2 linked regions of the Arabidopsis thaliana genome follow. The protein of the gene in region 1 purifies or fractionates together with the protein of each later gene. This does not show direct contact. Each region holds a gene or a part of one and is shown on either strand. Other genes may lie near its edges.

What was found. Proteins that work in one complex are often made in the same cells at the same time.
Region 2: the proteins of AT5G20810 (region 1) and CAM9 purify together in Arabidopsis thaliana (affinity purification with western blotting, with the first as the bait; one study listed by BioGRID). This does not show direct contact.

Annotation. Positions count from the first base shown.
Region 1 is NC_003076.8:7,039,857-7,048,274, forward strand, and holds AT5G20810 (SAUR-like auxin-responsive protein family), read left to right. Parts: upstream 1-3,944; 5' UTR 3,945-4,333; intron 4,334-4,877; 5' UTR 4,878-4,934; coding exon 4,935-5,507; 3' UTR 5,508-5,667; coding exon of another isoform or gene 5,668-5,699; 3' UTR 5,700-5,856; downstream 5,857-8,418. Other genes in the region: AT5G20790 (uncharacterized protein), read right to left, coding at 190-771; AT5G20820 (SAUR-like auxin-responsive protein family), read right to left, coding at 7,055-7,438.
Region 2 is NC_003074.8:19,265,972-19,274,223, reverse strand, and holds CAM9 (calmodulin 9), read left to right. Parts: upstream 1-4,565; 5' UTR 4,566-4,909; coding exon 4,910-4,985; intron 4,986-5,078; coding exon 5,079-5,239; intron 5,240-5,329; coding exon 5,330-5,407; intron 5,408-5,905; coding exon 5,906-6,046; 3' UTR 6,047-6,273; downstream 6,274-8,252. Other genes in the region: AT3G51940 (oxidoreductase/transition metal ion-binding protein), read left to right, coding at 1-516; AT3G51930 (Transducin/WD40 repeat-like superfamily protein), read right to left, coding at 1,305-2,552; HSFA7A (heat shock transcription factor A7A), read right to left, coding at 7,605-8,159. UniProt on the Arabidopsis thaliana protein: Potential calcium sensor.

The DNA.
Region 1 (8,418 bases):
TTACCTAAGTTCGACTAGAAAAAGCTGGGAATCAACACCAATTGATATTGATTTAAGCGTTCCTTCTTGGTCTCTTGTGTGAAAATTATTTACAAATTACAACTTAATCAACCAACAAAAAAAAAACACTTCAAACCAAGAAAGCTTCTCAAGATTTAAAAACTTTCCGAAATATGAAACTTCTCTAATTTAGACACATGCCGCCGTTACTAGTGTTTTGTTGTCATCCCATAACCTTACCACATTTCCATTAATCACCGTTAAATCCACGTAACGGTACCAACTGTCATCACCATTTCTCATCCTCACCACTCCATCCCATTTCTCCCACCAATCCCCGCCACAATTACCCAAACCTCCTCCGTAGCTAACTGCCGTTAAATCTCCGTTAACACACCTCCCACCGTCAACGTCAACGTCTACCTCGTAGCACATCGTCAGCTTCCCCTTTGTCACTCCGTCATCGCATATTAACGGCTCCGTTTTCGTAACCGTTTCCTTCACTCGTGCAACCGTTTCTTTGACCGGACCGGTTATTGATTTCGGTTCGAGACGACCGGATTCGTTTTCAGATTTAGAACCGGTTAATTCTTCTATCAAGACACATGCATGGCCGTCTCCGACTCCTATGGTTGTGACTCTGATCCTCCAGAAGCTGACAGCGGCAGTCACGACGGCGATCCATGTCCAGACGTTGTTGACGACGGCGAAAACACCTAAGCTAGCGTATTCAAACGCCAACGCCTCTAATGGAGATTCCAAAGTCGACATCGATCTCTTTATTGAAGTGTGTATAATTTTGCAAAGAGGTGAACGATTCAGTCGGTTATATAAAGGAGAGAGAGAAGGGATATATAGATGAAATCTGGACCGTCGGATGAAGAGCAAGTTGAGTGAGGAAAGGTAAGCCGTTGGATGAAGAGCAAGTGGAAGTATGAATATTTGGTAGATGCTGAGAATCGAGAGCGAAAGATGCTTCTGTCTTGAAGAAAGATGCGCATATAGCCCAAAGAGTTATTCTCCTTATGGATTTTAATAATAGAAAACATATAACAAACTTAATAGACTTTCAATACGACTCTTTGTTCGTGTGCTTACGTTACGGTTGTGTGCATGACCGATACAACATTTACTAGGTGGAGGATGTTCCGTGTTCGTACATCACTAAATTTAGATAACTTTATTATCGATTTAAATTTTGAATATTAATTTTTTAGAAGTTGAGTTATATAAGTGGTGGAAAATCGCTTATTAGTAGTGTAAACGTCGGTTAGACAAAAATATTTTCTTTTATTAGAGATAGATTATAAACTAGAATTAATGGTTGGTCGGCCAAATTTTTATTAAAGGATGGGAAAGAAGTGATGATTAAATCGGTAGCTTCAGCATTACTAACTTATGTTATGTCTTGTTTCAGACTACCAAAAACCATTACTTCTAAGCTTACAAGTGCGGTCGCTAAATTTTGGTGGAGTTCAAATGTCGATTCTAAAAGCATGCATTGGATGACTTGGAATAAATTATGTGATAGTAAGGTAGATAGTGGATTAGGTTTTTGAAATGTAGATGATTTAATTCTGCGCTTCTAGCAAAACAATTATGGCGGTTGATTACGGTTCCAGATTCACTATTTGCAAAGGTTTTCAAAGGAAGGTATTTTCGGAAATCTAATCCTATAGAAAATATTAAATCGTACTCTCCATCTTATGGATGGAAAAGTATTTGCTCAGCTAGATCTCTGGTTAAAAAAGGATTAATTAAAAGAGTCGGATCTGGGGCATCCATCTCCGTTTGGGAGGATCCTTGGATTTCAGCTCAATTCCCGAGACCAGCAAAAAGTAATGGGTCTGTTATTGATCCATCTTTAAAAGTAAGTAACCTTATTGACAGAAGGTCAAACTTTTGGAAAATGGATATTTTACATGAGATTTTTGATCCAAATGATATCCCGTTGATAAGTGCCCTGCATGTGGGTGCGCCCAACAAAGAGGATACTCTAGGTTGGCATTTTACAAAATCCGGAAAATATACTTTCAAATCTGGATATCATACTTCTCGGATAGAATATATAGATACAAATTTGTCTTTTATTGGTCCGGAGATCACATTGCTTAAAGCATATTCTTGGAAAGTGCAATGTCCGCCAAAGCTACGCCACTTTTTGTGGCAAATTTTAGCGAGTTGCGTGCCGGTCAGAGAAAATTTACGGAAAAGAGGCATAAATTGTGATATAGGTTGCGCAAGATGCGGTGCCACGGAGAAAACAATTAATCATACACTTTTTCAATGTCATCCAGCTCGACAGATTTGGGCGCTTTCACAGATTCCCACGGTTATAGGAATTTTTCCCTCGGATTCTATTTATGAGAATTTAGATCACTTATTTTGGAGAGTACAATCAGCAGTTGATTCATTTTCATATCCATGGATTATCTGGTATATTTGGAAAGCACGGAATGCAAAGCTTTTTGATAATGTGGATAAAGATCCACTTGATATTTTAAGTTTAGCGGAAAAAGAAGCACAATCGTGGAAATCAGCTCAAGTTGAGCTACATTCTGAAAATCCGGTTTCTTTTTTGGAATCACGAACTCGTGTGAGAAATATCTCAGAGGATAATGTTTATGCAGGACTTCGTTGTTTTGTAGACGGATCTTGGAAAGAGAGTGATCAGTTTTCAGGATTAGGATGGTTTTGTACATCATCAAATGAAGAAACCTCAAGCATGGGCACTACTAATCTCCGTAGAAGTCTCTCCCCATTACATACAGAAGTTGAAGCTCTTCTTTGGGGGATGAAGTGTATGATCGGTGCAGATAACTAAGATGTAGCGTTCTTTACAGACTGTTCAGACCTGGGAAGATGGTGTCTTCCCCAACCGAATGGCCAGCATTTTCAGGATATTTCTAGGAATTTCAGAGCGACAAGGATGAGTTTTCAAACTTCTCTTTATCTTTAATCTCACGACGCGCAAATGTAAAAGCGGATAATTTGGCACGGAATGTCCGTTCTGAATCGCATCACATCACTTATGTAAACAACATTCCACAGGAATGACTCTTTTGAGTTATAATTAAAAGCAGATGACAAAAAAAAAAAGTGTAAACGTCGTTTTTTTTTTGTTTTGTATTTAAGTTAGTATACAATGACCAAATTACACTCTCTTCACTTAAATAGTTAACACATTTACGAAGAACCATTCCGTATTTCCTTGTCTTGTTTTTTTTAATAAATAAAAACTTCTAAAATAGAAATAAAAAGTTTTAATAAATAAAAACTCCTATAAATAGAAATAAAAAGAAGAAAGATATGTTTTATTACTAAATTAAAAGAGTCATATTTTTATTAAAAAATATATATAAGACTCTTAGAAAAACAAAAAAATCATAAATAACTTATAGACCAACCATTTAAGCCCATCAGACTACTCCTTATAGAAAAGGTTATACTACGGCCCATTTAGACAGATAGAACTGTCTAATTCAAGAATTTAATTATGAGAAGAAACTTTATCAAAAACAATGCACATGAGAGAAGATTTTGTAAAATCCATCCATGATCCTCAGCAAAAAGAACACTATCCACAATTATATAATCTTTTCTTTAGAATAAGCCCACATCTTATAATAAGCTTCTGACATAAATTATCTTATTACTAAATTGATATATCATAAATTAACAGGATCAACTAAGTTAAGTAAATTATTATAAAATAATAATAATAAGTTAAAGTACATAATACATTATAGATCACATAATTAAAAACTTTAACAAGGAAGGCACGGATGAGGTGTTAAATGAATAATAAAGTAGTAAAGGGGTAAAATTGTAAAATAAAGTAAATATCGGAGTAAAGGGGTCAAATTGAAAATAAAGTAACCATCGGTATCGAGAAGAACGTGAGAAAATAAAACGGAAGAACCTGAAAAGGCGAAAGTGACGGGAAAGCCATCAAAACAAATCTGTGCGAGAGAGAATCAAAAACGAAGAAAACTCAAAAACTATAAAATCCAAATAAAGCCTAATCCCTAATTTCTCTCATCTCCCAAAATTCGCTTCTCTATTCGTTTTTTTTTCACCCCCACCAAATATTTAGATTCTATCGATTTTTTTTTCTTAATTTTTTTTTTGTAGTTTCAGTACTTAGAAATTGCTTCTTCCTCTCATATCATCATCATCGTTGAGCTCTGCCAGTCTCCGAGAACAGAATTATCCTTAAAAAAAAGATCGAAGCGAATCATAACAAACAAATTTTCGGGGGCTATTTTTTTTTGCATGGTGTTATTCATCGTGTCCATAGCTAAAGCAAGCTTCAATTCGTTTTCCTCTTCAGGTAATTTATACTCTTTGATAATGTAATTTACACGATTGCGTATTAGTCTGTTTCAGCTACGTGTTTTGGTTTCATCTGAACTATTTACAGTTTTTGAGAAGAACTTTGATTTAGCGGATTGGGATCAAATCTGGATTCATTTTCGCTGATTTTGCTAAATAAAGTTAGCGAAATTATATTTTAAAAAAAACTTAGGGTTTGATGTTCTTTAGATTGATTTGGTTTACCATAGATAAGAATTGGACCCTAATAATATTTAGGAATCTGAGAAAACATTCCCTTGATAAAGACGTCTTTGGGATCTGCTTCTCTGTGTATTTGGGTGGGTCCTCTGTTTTTTTTGATGATATTCTTTTCTTTATTTGGGACCTAACCTATTTATATAGTAATGCTTCAAATTGATTTAGAGGTCAATAAACTTGGTTAATTGATTTTTAATTCTTTCTCGTTACACAGATTTATAGTAATGTGTATTTTCATTTATTTTGATGCAACTGAGTCAGAAAGAAACTAATCAAACAGTTTTGTGACATTGTAAATGCAGCTACAAAGGGAAGAAGAAGATCATATGTGACATTTGATCTTTCGTTATACTAGCCAGATGGATGAAAACAACGCGGCCAAGTTAACCGGTATCAGGCAGATTGTCAGGCTTAAGGAGATTTTGCAGAAATGGCAAACCGTCACCATAGGCCCCAAGTCAGAAGTTCCTCCATTGGCAGCTGGAAAGCAAGCAGTGGCGATGATTTCGCCCGCCATCAACAAGAGGCTATTAGATGTCAAGAACGGTGACTCGGATGAGGAAACCTGTCAAAGTCCTGAGCCGCCTCATGATGTTCCTAAAGGGAATCTTGCTGTTTATGTTGGACCGGAGCTAAGGAGGTTTATCATACCGACAAGCTATCTTAGCCACTCTCTGTTCAAGGTTTTGCTCGAGAAAGCAGAGGAAGAGTTTGGGTTTGATCAGAGCGGTGCGCTCACCATCCCTTGCGAGGTCGAGACTTTCAAGTACTTGCTTAAGTGCATGGAGAACAATCTTAAAGATCTTCATCCTGATGACAACTCTGGTAAGCCCCCCAAAGACCAACTCTTACCTAGAGATCATACCATGAACTCAAATCCTGGTGGCCAGCCAAGGCTTAATCCAGGGACTGGGTTAAAGTCTAAACCCTGAAGAATCAGGTCTAAAAACATGCTGCGTTTAAAATGGGCCGGGCCAAGCCCGTTAACATTCACAAGTTTGTTTGATGAGAGAACAAGCAAGACGATTAGTTATTAGACACTGTTATGCTGATTCTTGAGAAACACTAATGGCTTTGTCTTGTCTTTTGCAGATGGGGAGGCAGTAGCAGCAAAGGAAGAGTAAATACAAGTCAAGTGATAAAAAATCTTAAAACATTTATTTTGTTTTGATTCTCTTGTTATCCTTTAATCATATACTGATGGAAATTGTTAATTAGGGATGATTACTTTGGGGTGTAATTGTAAAATCAGATTATCTTTGTGTTTTCCTGGTTTCTTTATTGATTCTCCATTCTTTTTTCAAGGGGGATTTAAGTTTTAGGACATGTATGTTAGATGTGAAAAAATTTGGTGGTCAAAGTGTGATACGAAACAAAAATATAACTTCTTGTACGAAAACATGTTCACATTTCTTGTCTTCTTCTTCGATGTTGTTATCGAAAATTGTTATGTGTGACAATCAAGTAGACTAATGAATAATATGCAACAATGTGGGGAAGATGGATTGTGGTCGAATTGTCAAGAACTGGTCGGATTTGGTATATAATTCGTATACACTACTTACGATTGTTTGGGCCGGAGCTAACAGTTAAAGAATTCTCCCAAACAGCATGCACTCGAATTCAGGAAAGACACAACTTCACCCTTTGCTATGGGACCAAAGTCACCAAGCACTACTTATTTGGTTTTCCATGTGTTTCCAATCTCCAAAAAGCGGTGTACCCCATTCCAAGTCTTGCATTCGTCTGTTAGCGATCCAGTCAGAAAAAAATTTCGTTTCTAATTTTTCACATAAAGCCTAAATATGTTTAATCGTTTTTTTTTTCATTCTGCATTTTACCAAATAAAATCAGTTTCTTACATGACTTTTGCCAAAACAAAAATTAAAAAACATCACATGTAGATTTAATTTATTATATTTTTTTTTCTCAGTCATCATATTTCTTTTGCGACTTTAAAAGATGCAAATCCGTCTAGACTTTATCAAAATTATTTATCTATATAATACGTTCATTGTTTAATTGTTTAGTTTGTATGTTTATGTGCAATTGTGCATGACATGCGTGTATACGTATGTTTTTATGGAAAAAAAAAGATACACGGATAAATTTTATAAATATATTTAAATACGTAGGGGCCAATCAATCTAAAGTAGATAAGATGAATTGATTAGGGTTTGAAATTTTGTAGCCCGTGATTGATCTAGTTCACGAAGTCAGTCAAATACAACATTGACATTGCAATTAGTTTTAGCTCTTTGTATAACCATTAAAAAATCATCATTTTTAAACTACATTGCAACTTGCAAGACAATATTTACACATTTAAACATTTATTTTATCGTTGTTGTATCATTTAACAGAAAATAGATTATTTCACGAAATACTATGTAAAGTGTAAAGTATACAAAGTGTAGAATATACAAACATGTAACATTTAATCATAAATATATTTTGAACCTAAATTAATCATAAAGAGTTAACAAGCGTAGAACTCGACAAGTTCGTAGACCGACTCGGGGCGTGACTCATCGGCGTCGGCGTTCTCCAACATCCAAAGCAAATGCTCAAACAAGACAACTTCGCACGACACAGAGATGGAACCGTCCTCGCTGCCGCATCCACCATCCACCGCCGCTAGCTGCTGGAAGAGCGGGTGGCTCACGACATCGGAGCTCACGTGGTATGTCCTCCGTGTTCGGCCTACGTAGACAGTTTGAAGGTCTTCAGAGGGGAACGCACTCACGGCGGAGGATCGGCTGTGATTGGTTTGAGCTGGTGGCTGGTTAGGCTTGGTGTTGAATGAATTGAGTTTCTTCAAAACTGATTTCAGCTTCATCAGTTTGTTTCCTCCTTTCGCCATTACCGATTCGGTTTGGAGAAGTTTGACGTCGGAAATGTAAGTCCGAGTGAGTTTTCCGGTGAGAGAGAGAGAGAGAGAGAAGCGAGGAAGAGGAATGTCGATGTCGAAGAGAGAAAGGAGAATGATGTTCTTATATAACTTGCTAAGGGTAGATTCGTAATTATAGTATTATTATTTTCAGTATAATTTCATGGTTTTAATAAGTTTGAGAACGTTTAGGTTATCAACCGATTTTTGAATAGCCATTATCCAATGATCTAAAAGTTTCCAAGAGCCGGAAGCAATTATTCGAAAAGATTATGATTATGAATTGGAAAGATAAAGCTAAAAGTATATATTAAAACATGCAAACCCACATCACTCCAAAAGTTTTTGTTATCCCAGTCAACCATATACATCATCATTTCCCCATAACCATTTTCTTAAAACTAAATTTGGCTAACGTTTTAACTACGTTGTGGTAAGAACCTTCGAGACTTCGAGTGTGTAAAGTGTAAACTTATATTTTGGATGAATTTTTGTTAAGTTTGGATCTTCATCACATTTGTTTTTGTGTCATTTCAATCCAAATGATGAAGTAACGAGTACCACAAACTTACTAGATTATATGTTCTATTCAATATGTACTTTTCTTCAAAGGATTTTCATAGTATTTATTAGAAACTTTAAATATATTCTCTTTTCTTTCAACGAATTTCAGTTAGATATTTAACTACGACAATTTTTCTTCTAAAAATTTATGGAGTTCCCATTTTTCTCGTTTATATAAAATATAAATTTCTTTGAATGAAGATCATAACAATATAAATGAAGCTGTGAACTTTATGTAATCACTTGATTATAATAAACTAATCCAACAACTAAAGGAGGTTCATGAACTTCTAAAGCGGCTTATTAGTTCTAATTAGTTAGGTAAGTAATTGGCTATCTCTGCTTTTGATTAAAAAAATTATCTTCTCTTTTTTTACACATAACATGTT
Region 2 (8,252 bases), on another chromosome or scaffold:
GGATGGGAGGATAGAGGTTGGAATAATGATTCTTGGGGCAGTGGGGGATGGGATAACCGGGATTTGGGAAATCAAGGTATGGAGATGAAGGAGTGGCGTGGTAAAGGATATAGTCGAGATTTTCGGGAGCCTAAGGGTTGTAATCCATGGAAAGGTGGGTTTGTGCCTGACAATGTAGCTTTCAGAGAATCTGGGGTAAATGCAGGCGGTTGGCAAACATGTAGAGGGAGTGAGACAAAGCAAATAAATTGGGATGTGAAACGAGCCAGTGATGGTTGGGGTAGGCAAAATGACAATGCAGCTTTGAGAGAATATGGGGCAAATGCAGGTGATTGGCAAAGACGTAGAGGGTGTGAGGGAAATCAAAGAAACTGGGACGCAAAACGAACGGGTGATGGTTGGGGTAGGCAAAATAAGGAAAGAGTTGACTCATATGGCTACCATTCTAACTACAAAAACTCATGGCCTAGAAGAGATGATTATCAGAACAGGAAGGTCAATTTCTCAACTAAGTAAACCAAATGATCCATTGTTTTTTGTTATGTTTTTTTTTTTTTTGTGTTTGAAGTCTTAGCTTGTTATGGTCTGTGCAGGCAGTGTAGTTTTAGCTTAGCCATTGACTTCCATGTTAACTCAAAAGGCATGGTTTTGTGTTTCCACTTCAGAATTAGCATATGTAGAGTATATAGGAGTACCCTTTTTGATGATAATGTCTCATACATACTAAAGTATTCAAGGTTTTTGCCTTTTGAGGCTGGATTGATAATGATTGTGTTCTTTGTGAAGATGTTTTATTCACACTTTTCTTAATTGATTCCAACTTCGAAAAGAAAGGCATCTACACACATGAATACACTTATGTTTTGGCTCAATGCATTCCTTAAAAGCTTCCTCATCTCATTTTTATATTCAAAACTGAGTTATTCTGCTTTAAAGAGTGTGATTTGGAATCAACAAAGTTGGGTATATGCTTCACTTTCAAAGCAATGGGTGCGTCTGCTTTGCATGATGGTGATGGAGAAAGTTGCAAACTCTGCTTTACTATTTGGACGGTGAGCATTCCATTGCTACAGTTTCAATACAAAGCAAAGGTAACCCAAAAGCATCAGACTTTACTCTGTTCTATATCATTAGGACCAAAACAGTTGGTAGACACAAATGTTAACAAAATAAGAATTCAATTCATATAATTTCTTGAAAAAATCCCTCATGACTTTACAAAATGAATAACAAATTACAAATATAAACCAAAACGTATATGAAAACCAATCCAAAAAAAAAAAAAAAAGTACTATATCTTTCACTCATTCCTTTTGCGTCAACAATGTCTTAAAGCTTGATTTCTTCTCTTCTAAGTTGTCTTGTTTTGGTACCCACCAAACCCTGAGACTCTTGTCAAGGCCTCCACTGTAAAGCATGAAGCCAGCACCGACATTGTTTGGCGACGCTTGTAAGCATTTGACCGGACCTTCATGGCCATGTATGACTCCGAATTTACAGAGCATGCCAGTCACTTCTCTCCTCCACAACCCAATGCTCTTATCAGCCGATCCACTGCATACCATTTCCCCAACTACACACATACACAGAACTGCCATGTTATGTCCTCTTGTCTCAAACCCTAATCTCCATTCCTCAAAGTCTCCTTCTTTCTCTTTCTTCTCCCATCCGATCACAAACCCGTCTGATCCTCCTCCGTATACCCAATTACCGTCACCGGAAACCACCACCGAGTTCACTGACACCTCTGCACGACCCTCCAACGTAGCCTTCAAAACATGTAAAGAAGAGGAAGAGGAAGAAGTAGACTCAATCTGCTTTCTCTTCTCTTTCCCCCATATCTTGACCTTCCCATCTGCGGAAGCAGAGTATACCCTGCCATCTCCGGCGACAAGACCATTGATTGCGTCATCATGAGCCTTGATCGATTCAAGACACTTGAGATCCGACAGTCTCCAGACTTTGAGAGTCTTATCCCACGATCCAGAGTAGATTATCCCAGCGTGTACCGCAAGGCACGAAATGCTATCGGCGTGTTCAATCCAGAGACGCTTATGGTTCCTCCTCGTCTGAACGTAATTGCTCTGTTTCATAAACTTCCCCAGATAGTCTTTAGTCGTGGGAAGTGTATCAACAAGCCTGAAAGCATTCTCAGAGTTTCTCCGAGAAACTTTCCAAACTCTGATTCTACTATCTTGATGCGCCGTGAACACTTTGCTTCCCACGCTGACCAAAGCCTTCACAGACCCATCACCTTGTCCGAATTTCGCAAAGATCTTGAGATCAGGCTGTTGCCAAACGATGATATCTTTTCCCTGAGACGCACTCAGCAAGAACTCACCACAGAGCGCTAAGGAAGAAACAGAGCCGACATGAGCAGAGAGAACAGCGAGTGGCTTGTACGCGCCGGTGATAGGCGGACGGAGAGTGTTGAGGACGAAGCTTTTGGTGGACGCAGATGGGCTGAGAGAACCGTCGGAGTCGTTGCTGTTGCTTGTGGTTGAGGAAGAAGATGAAGACATCAAGACTCCTTCTTGGATTGATCTCACCATCGTATCAAGAGATTCAAGATTTCGTTTCTATTTTGGAACAGAGAAACCAACAAAATTGGAGCGTTTGAGGAAATGTTAAAAAGAGTATTTATTTTTAAAAAGGAGGAGAAGGTGCAACGGCTACATTGACAGGTGGCGTAGCCTCCTTTTTTTGCCTTTTGCTTATCATTTGCGCATTTTCATTAATTCGTGATATATGGCTCATGGAATCTTATAATATATGAAACCACTTCAGGAGCCTTAAATTTAATGTGTGCATATCATAGTAACGGATTGATCATTGTTCTCTTGTTTGACCAGTGATGTTAATTGGACCATATGTGGATACTGTAACGTTAAGGATTATGAAAATCAAGATATAGATATATGTATTTTTCAAGTATACGATATACCAAATTAGTTACGACAAAATGCGAATGAGTTGGTAGTAATGAGTAAACCTCAAAATACTGTTTTTTTTTTGTCAACAAACTTATGTTATTATACTTGGATGACTTAAATAAGCTAAACCGAAAAACATTGTTTAACCTCAAAATACTTATTTAATTAGTTGGTAGCATCGTTACATATTATAATTACGACTACGAGTTAGATTCTCAAATAATATTCCCAAATGGATATATTTACATCGATTGATGCATGCTTATTTGTAGTGATCGTCCCTTATGTATATTATGTTTTTATTTTATTTTTTGAACATAGTATAATATTGGTGGGAGAAGACAAAAATAAGGGAGCTCTGCCATCTAATACGGGAATCAAGATATCTGTTTTACATCAAACAAAGACTAGTGTGATGAAATGAAAGTTAAGTTAACAACAATAAAAAACAAAATTAGCTGAAAATGTAATCAAATGAGAGATCCGAATCCGATCTCCGCTAAGTAAAGCGTAGTGGGAGCGTAAATTCGCGTGAGTCTGATTCTGAATCGTATCATACATACCAAATCAAACATTAACGTTTATGATCTTACTTACCCATATCTTATTTCTTAATTTGTTTGGTTGTTTGTAAATGAGAAATACACTATGATAAGAGAAGAAGATCTAAATGAGGCATAGATCTCTAGATACCAAAACAGATAACGCCACCAACTAACATCCAATTAAGGATATATAACACGGCATCTCCCTCTTTAGTAAGCTTACGACCAAAGTAGTGTGACTAGTGCGGAACATTTTTGCAGTTAATACTACTTAGCCTCAATTCTTAATTATGACCGTATGGGACAGGGTAGGTAGGCACAAAGCGGATATTGTTTTTAATATATTTGCATCGAATTTGGTTTGTTGGATCGATAATCTTTTAATATGTATCCGCTTTTGAACTAGTCTATTCTCCGATTGTAGAATGAAACATCTATCCGAAATTCTAATTTGTAGTATTAGTGATTTGTTTTGTTTTTAACAGTATTTTAATATTTGTTTAAATTTGTAAACTTATGGTTATCCAGACTTTTTGAATCATTCAAAAGTGGAAAACAGATCGAATGGAAGTATAGAACACTACAATATATTTTCATATTTTTCTTAGCCGTAAGCCACTAATATTGGATGGACATAAACATAAGAGACCCCACAATATTTATCAGATTAAGCCTTTATTCACATTACAATGTTTCGTTCTCAACTTCTCATCATAACGTGAATAAAAGTAGGAGTTAGAATTAGAACACAACATCTCTAACAAATCTCTTATCTGCATTGCTTTGGAGAGACATGTTTGTACAAGAAGAAAAATGTTTATGGTCAGTCCGTTTTTTTCATATTGATTACCTTTTAAATCCCATTTGGTATTAAAAAAAACCCACTTCTAAGATATGTTTCGCTTTTTATGGTAACAAGACATATAACTTTTCAAAGTTACTGAATGGAATTCTTGACAGAAGTTGTTAGGACACTAAATAATGGAAAATCAAAATCAAGGGTTACATTAGAGACACGCGTACATCAATTATTTCTTAAAATGCAACTTGGTGTACGACTTTTAATTCTTGAGTCCTCAAACCCGAGCATTACTCCACCCTTTCTTTTCGCAATAATCAAGATCCTAATTTAATTCCCTATAAGTATTTTTTCTAATAACTATGAAAATAAAGAAAAATAAGCGTTGAAGTCATAAGTTTGAACAAAGACGCGTGACCTGGAATCGTGCTCAAGAAAAAATATCACAACTAATGAAAACGCAAGGTCATGAGTATTGACCTTGACCGGGCAAGAGCCTAGAGCCAAGAGGTGATGTGTACTTAAATGTGATAGATGCTCCCTTCTTCTTCTCTCATCACTAACAAATTAAGAGAAGCTGATCATCAGATTGAATCAAAGACAGACTTTGACTTTTCTTTGTGATCGAAGATATGGCGGATGCTTTCACAGATGAACAGATCCAAGAGTTTTACGAAGCCTTCTGTCTCATAGACAAAGATTCCGATGGTCTGCTTTGTTCTCTCTCTTTCTTGTTCGATTTGATACACAAATTTATTCAGAATCGATCGGTTTGATGATGTTATGATGCATGTGAAACAGGGTTCATCACGAAGGAGAAGCTAACGAAAGTGATGAAGTCGATGGGGAAGAATCCAAAGGCGGAACAACTGCAACAGATGATGAGCGATGTTGACATCTTTGGCAACGGTGGCATCACTTTTGATGATTTCTTGTATATTATGGCTCAAAACACTTCTCAGGTAAAATATATATACACACTTAAAACCGTTTAGTTATAGTAAAGATTGATAATTGTAGAGAAAAGTTAATAATGAAAAAATTGGTTGTAGGAATCAGCATCGGATGAGTTAATTGAGGTATTCAGAGTGTTCGACAGAGACGGAGATGGTCTCATATCTCAACTTGAGGTAAATAAATTGTCTAACTATTTACCAAATAGTACATTGTCCTGACATGGAAACAATAAAAAACGAGTTACATACATATATAATAAGATTAAGTGATCATGTAGATGGATATAACGAAAGAAGAGAAATTACTAAATGTTACTTTTTTGAAGACCTTGTTATTATTATCTTTATAATCTACTATCATTCACTCATTACAACACAAATTTTTGTCGCCATAAGAAACTCCATTGCTCATATGGTCTTGTTTTTTTTTTCTCAAACCGACACGGCGACAACACAACAATCGAGAGACACATAGTCACATACTACTTGAAAAATACTTCGTTATCTGAATTAAAAAGATTTATATTCAAAAATAATGCAAAAAAGATTGGTCATTTAACTTGGTCAAATGGTTATTAGCTTACTTTTATAATATAAGCCATTCTCTTAACTCTTAAGTCTTAACTATAGTTTATTTAGCCATTTCTCCTAATTTCTATAAACGAAATGCAGTTGGGAGAAGGAATGAAGGACATGGGGATGAAGATAACAGCAGAAGAAGCGGAGCATATGGTCCGAGAAGCCGACCTTGATGGCGATGGTTTTCTTTCTTTCCACGAATTCTCTAAAATGATGATTGCTGCCTCTTATTAGCATTTTGTGAAATGCCATGATTTAAGAGTTTGTTTTTGCACAATTACAACTATATTTCAATATGTTACTATATTTTCCCAACATATAATTAAAGTGTGTGTTACTGAATCAATGATTTTTTTCGGTCGATAAAAAACTATAATATTTTTCCTATCCAAAATTCGAACCAAACCAAACCAAACCAAAAGTATTGTTCTGTTTTAAACATATGTTTTTTAAACCGGAAAATCCAAACCGAACTAAACCGAGAGTAATTATCTGACTCGGTCACTCGACGGTAGCGTGCCACAATTGAACTGGTGGTCGATCCTTAACTTCCATCTTCAATCCTTGCAAAACCCTAATGAAGAAGCAGTCTGAAGAACCAAAAATCAGTGGTTTTTTAATAAGTAAATGGTGAGAAAATCTGTTGAACTGTCGAATTTGTTTATAACCTATCAGCTTTGCTATAAATTGTTTGTTCCAAATTCCAATTCAAGTCCCCATCATTGAAGGTTAAGTAGCTTTGCTTTTTTGTCTGCCGACGGTTGTTGTAGAAATTTATGATGTTCTTGATGCTTGTCACTTTCACTCATATTGAGATCTGTCTCTCGATTCATGTTTCTTCATCACAGTGGACACAAAATGACCTAGAAGCTGAGATAGTATATTTACATTGAGTAGAGCAATTTAGTACTTGCAATATTCGTTTTAGTAGTGTCTAAAAAAGATAAGGCTTTGGTTGAACTCCATTCTAAAACCCTTACGACTGATTGAGCAAGAATCTTTACATTGATTATAGCTTTGTTTCCGTGGAAAAGTTTCTACAGTCCAGCCATGCAAACAAGGCGATGGCAACATAGGAAGGAGATAGGAGATTGATTAGATTTTTTTTTTGTCAATCAACAACTAGCTGCTGTAGAAGAAACTTTAGATCAGAAAACAGAACAGCTAATCACTGCTAAAGAGTTTTCCTCTTCTTTGTCATGAGACATTCCACCATCTTGTGGATTCTTGATCTTTGTAGCAATCTTCTTGCTCATAGTTGTCTTTGCTCTCATTTTAAAGTTATTTTCTTGAAGACTAGAGATCAGAATTTTGACCGGAGAGAGTAAACCATATTACATGATTCCACTAAATTAACACTGTTACAGGTTAGAATCACGGACATGGATGATTGCTCACTCATGTGGACTTGTCTTAACACTGACCCAAATAAGCCAAAACTCCTTAATAGCATTAAATGATGTGAAAAAGAGAGATCACATTTGGAAAAAGGGTTTAGGGCAAAAAAGAGTGAAGCAGACAAAGACATCATTCAACGTCATCAATAGGTCTTTGTAAGAAGAGATCAGAGAAGAGTTTAGATGGAGTTAATAACAATCATATTTATCACATACATATACACATATATGAAAGAATTAACCATTTTTTTGTTTACACTACTACTACTACTACTTGATAACAAAATTACTGCAAATTAATTAAACAAACAGAAAAAGTTTTTTTTTTGTGACAGAAGAAAATGAGCTTGAAAGTAGAAGAAACTAAAAACAAAACCAAAAAGAAATCCATCTAGTTAGGAGGTGGAAGCCAAACTCTCATCACTAAGCAACTCTTCCCAGAAACCATCATCCAACTCTCTCTCTACCACCAGTTGATGATCCTCTTCTTCCAACATATTCCTCTGTTTTCCATGCCCTTGCATCTCCAAAGCCAAAACTTCCAATTCCGACATCGAAGAAGAACCTCTTTTCCTCTTTGCTGACTCATTATCCTCAAGCTCCTTAATTTTTTTATCTCTTTGTTTCAACAACTGATGCAAAAACGAAGGACTCTGCATTGCTCTAGCCAGAAACGACATCATTTGTCTCTGTTTCCTCTCTGTTCCTTCTATCCTCTGTTCCATAGCTTTGATGTAGCTTTTCGTTGTTTGTTGCTGCTGTCTTAGACTCACTATCTCCATCATTAGCACTTGCTTCTCTCTGCGAAGCTCGTTGCAAGCGTCATGGCTTGGTGAAGATGATGGAGTAAAAGGGTTTCTCCTCTTGATGTTCTTCAACAACTGTCTTTGTCCTAACAAAAACTCTTCGTTTGCAAATTCCCATCTCTCTGCTTCTATCTTTCTGAAACCCTGTAATTTTTTTAACATAAGTATTCAAAAACTAATCTTTTGAAAGTCTACATATTCTCACAAACATCAATAATTGGAGTGAGAACTCTTTCT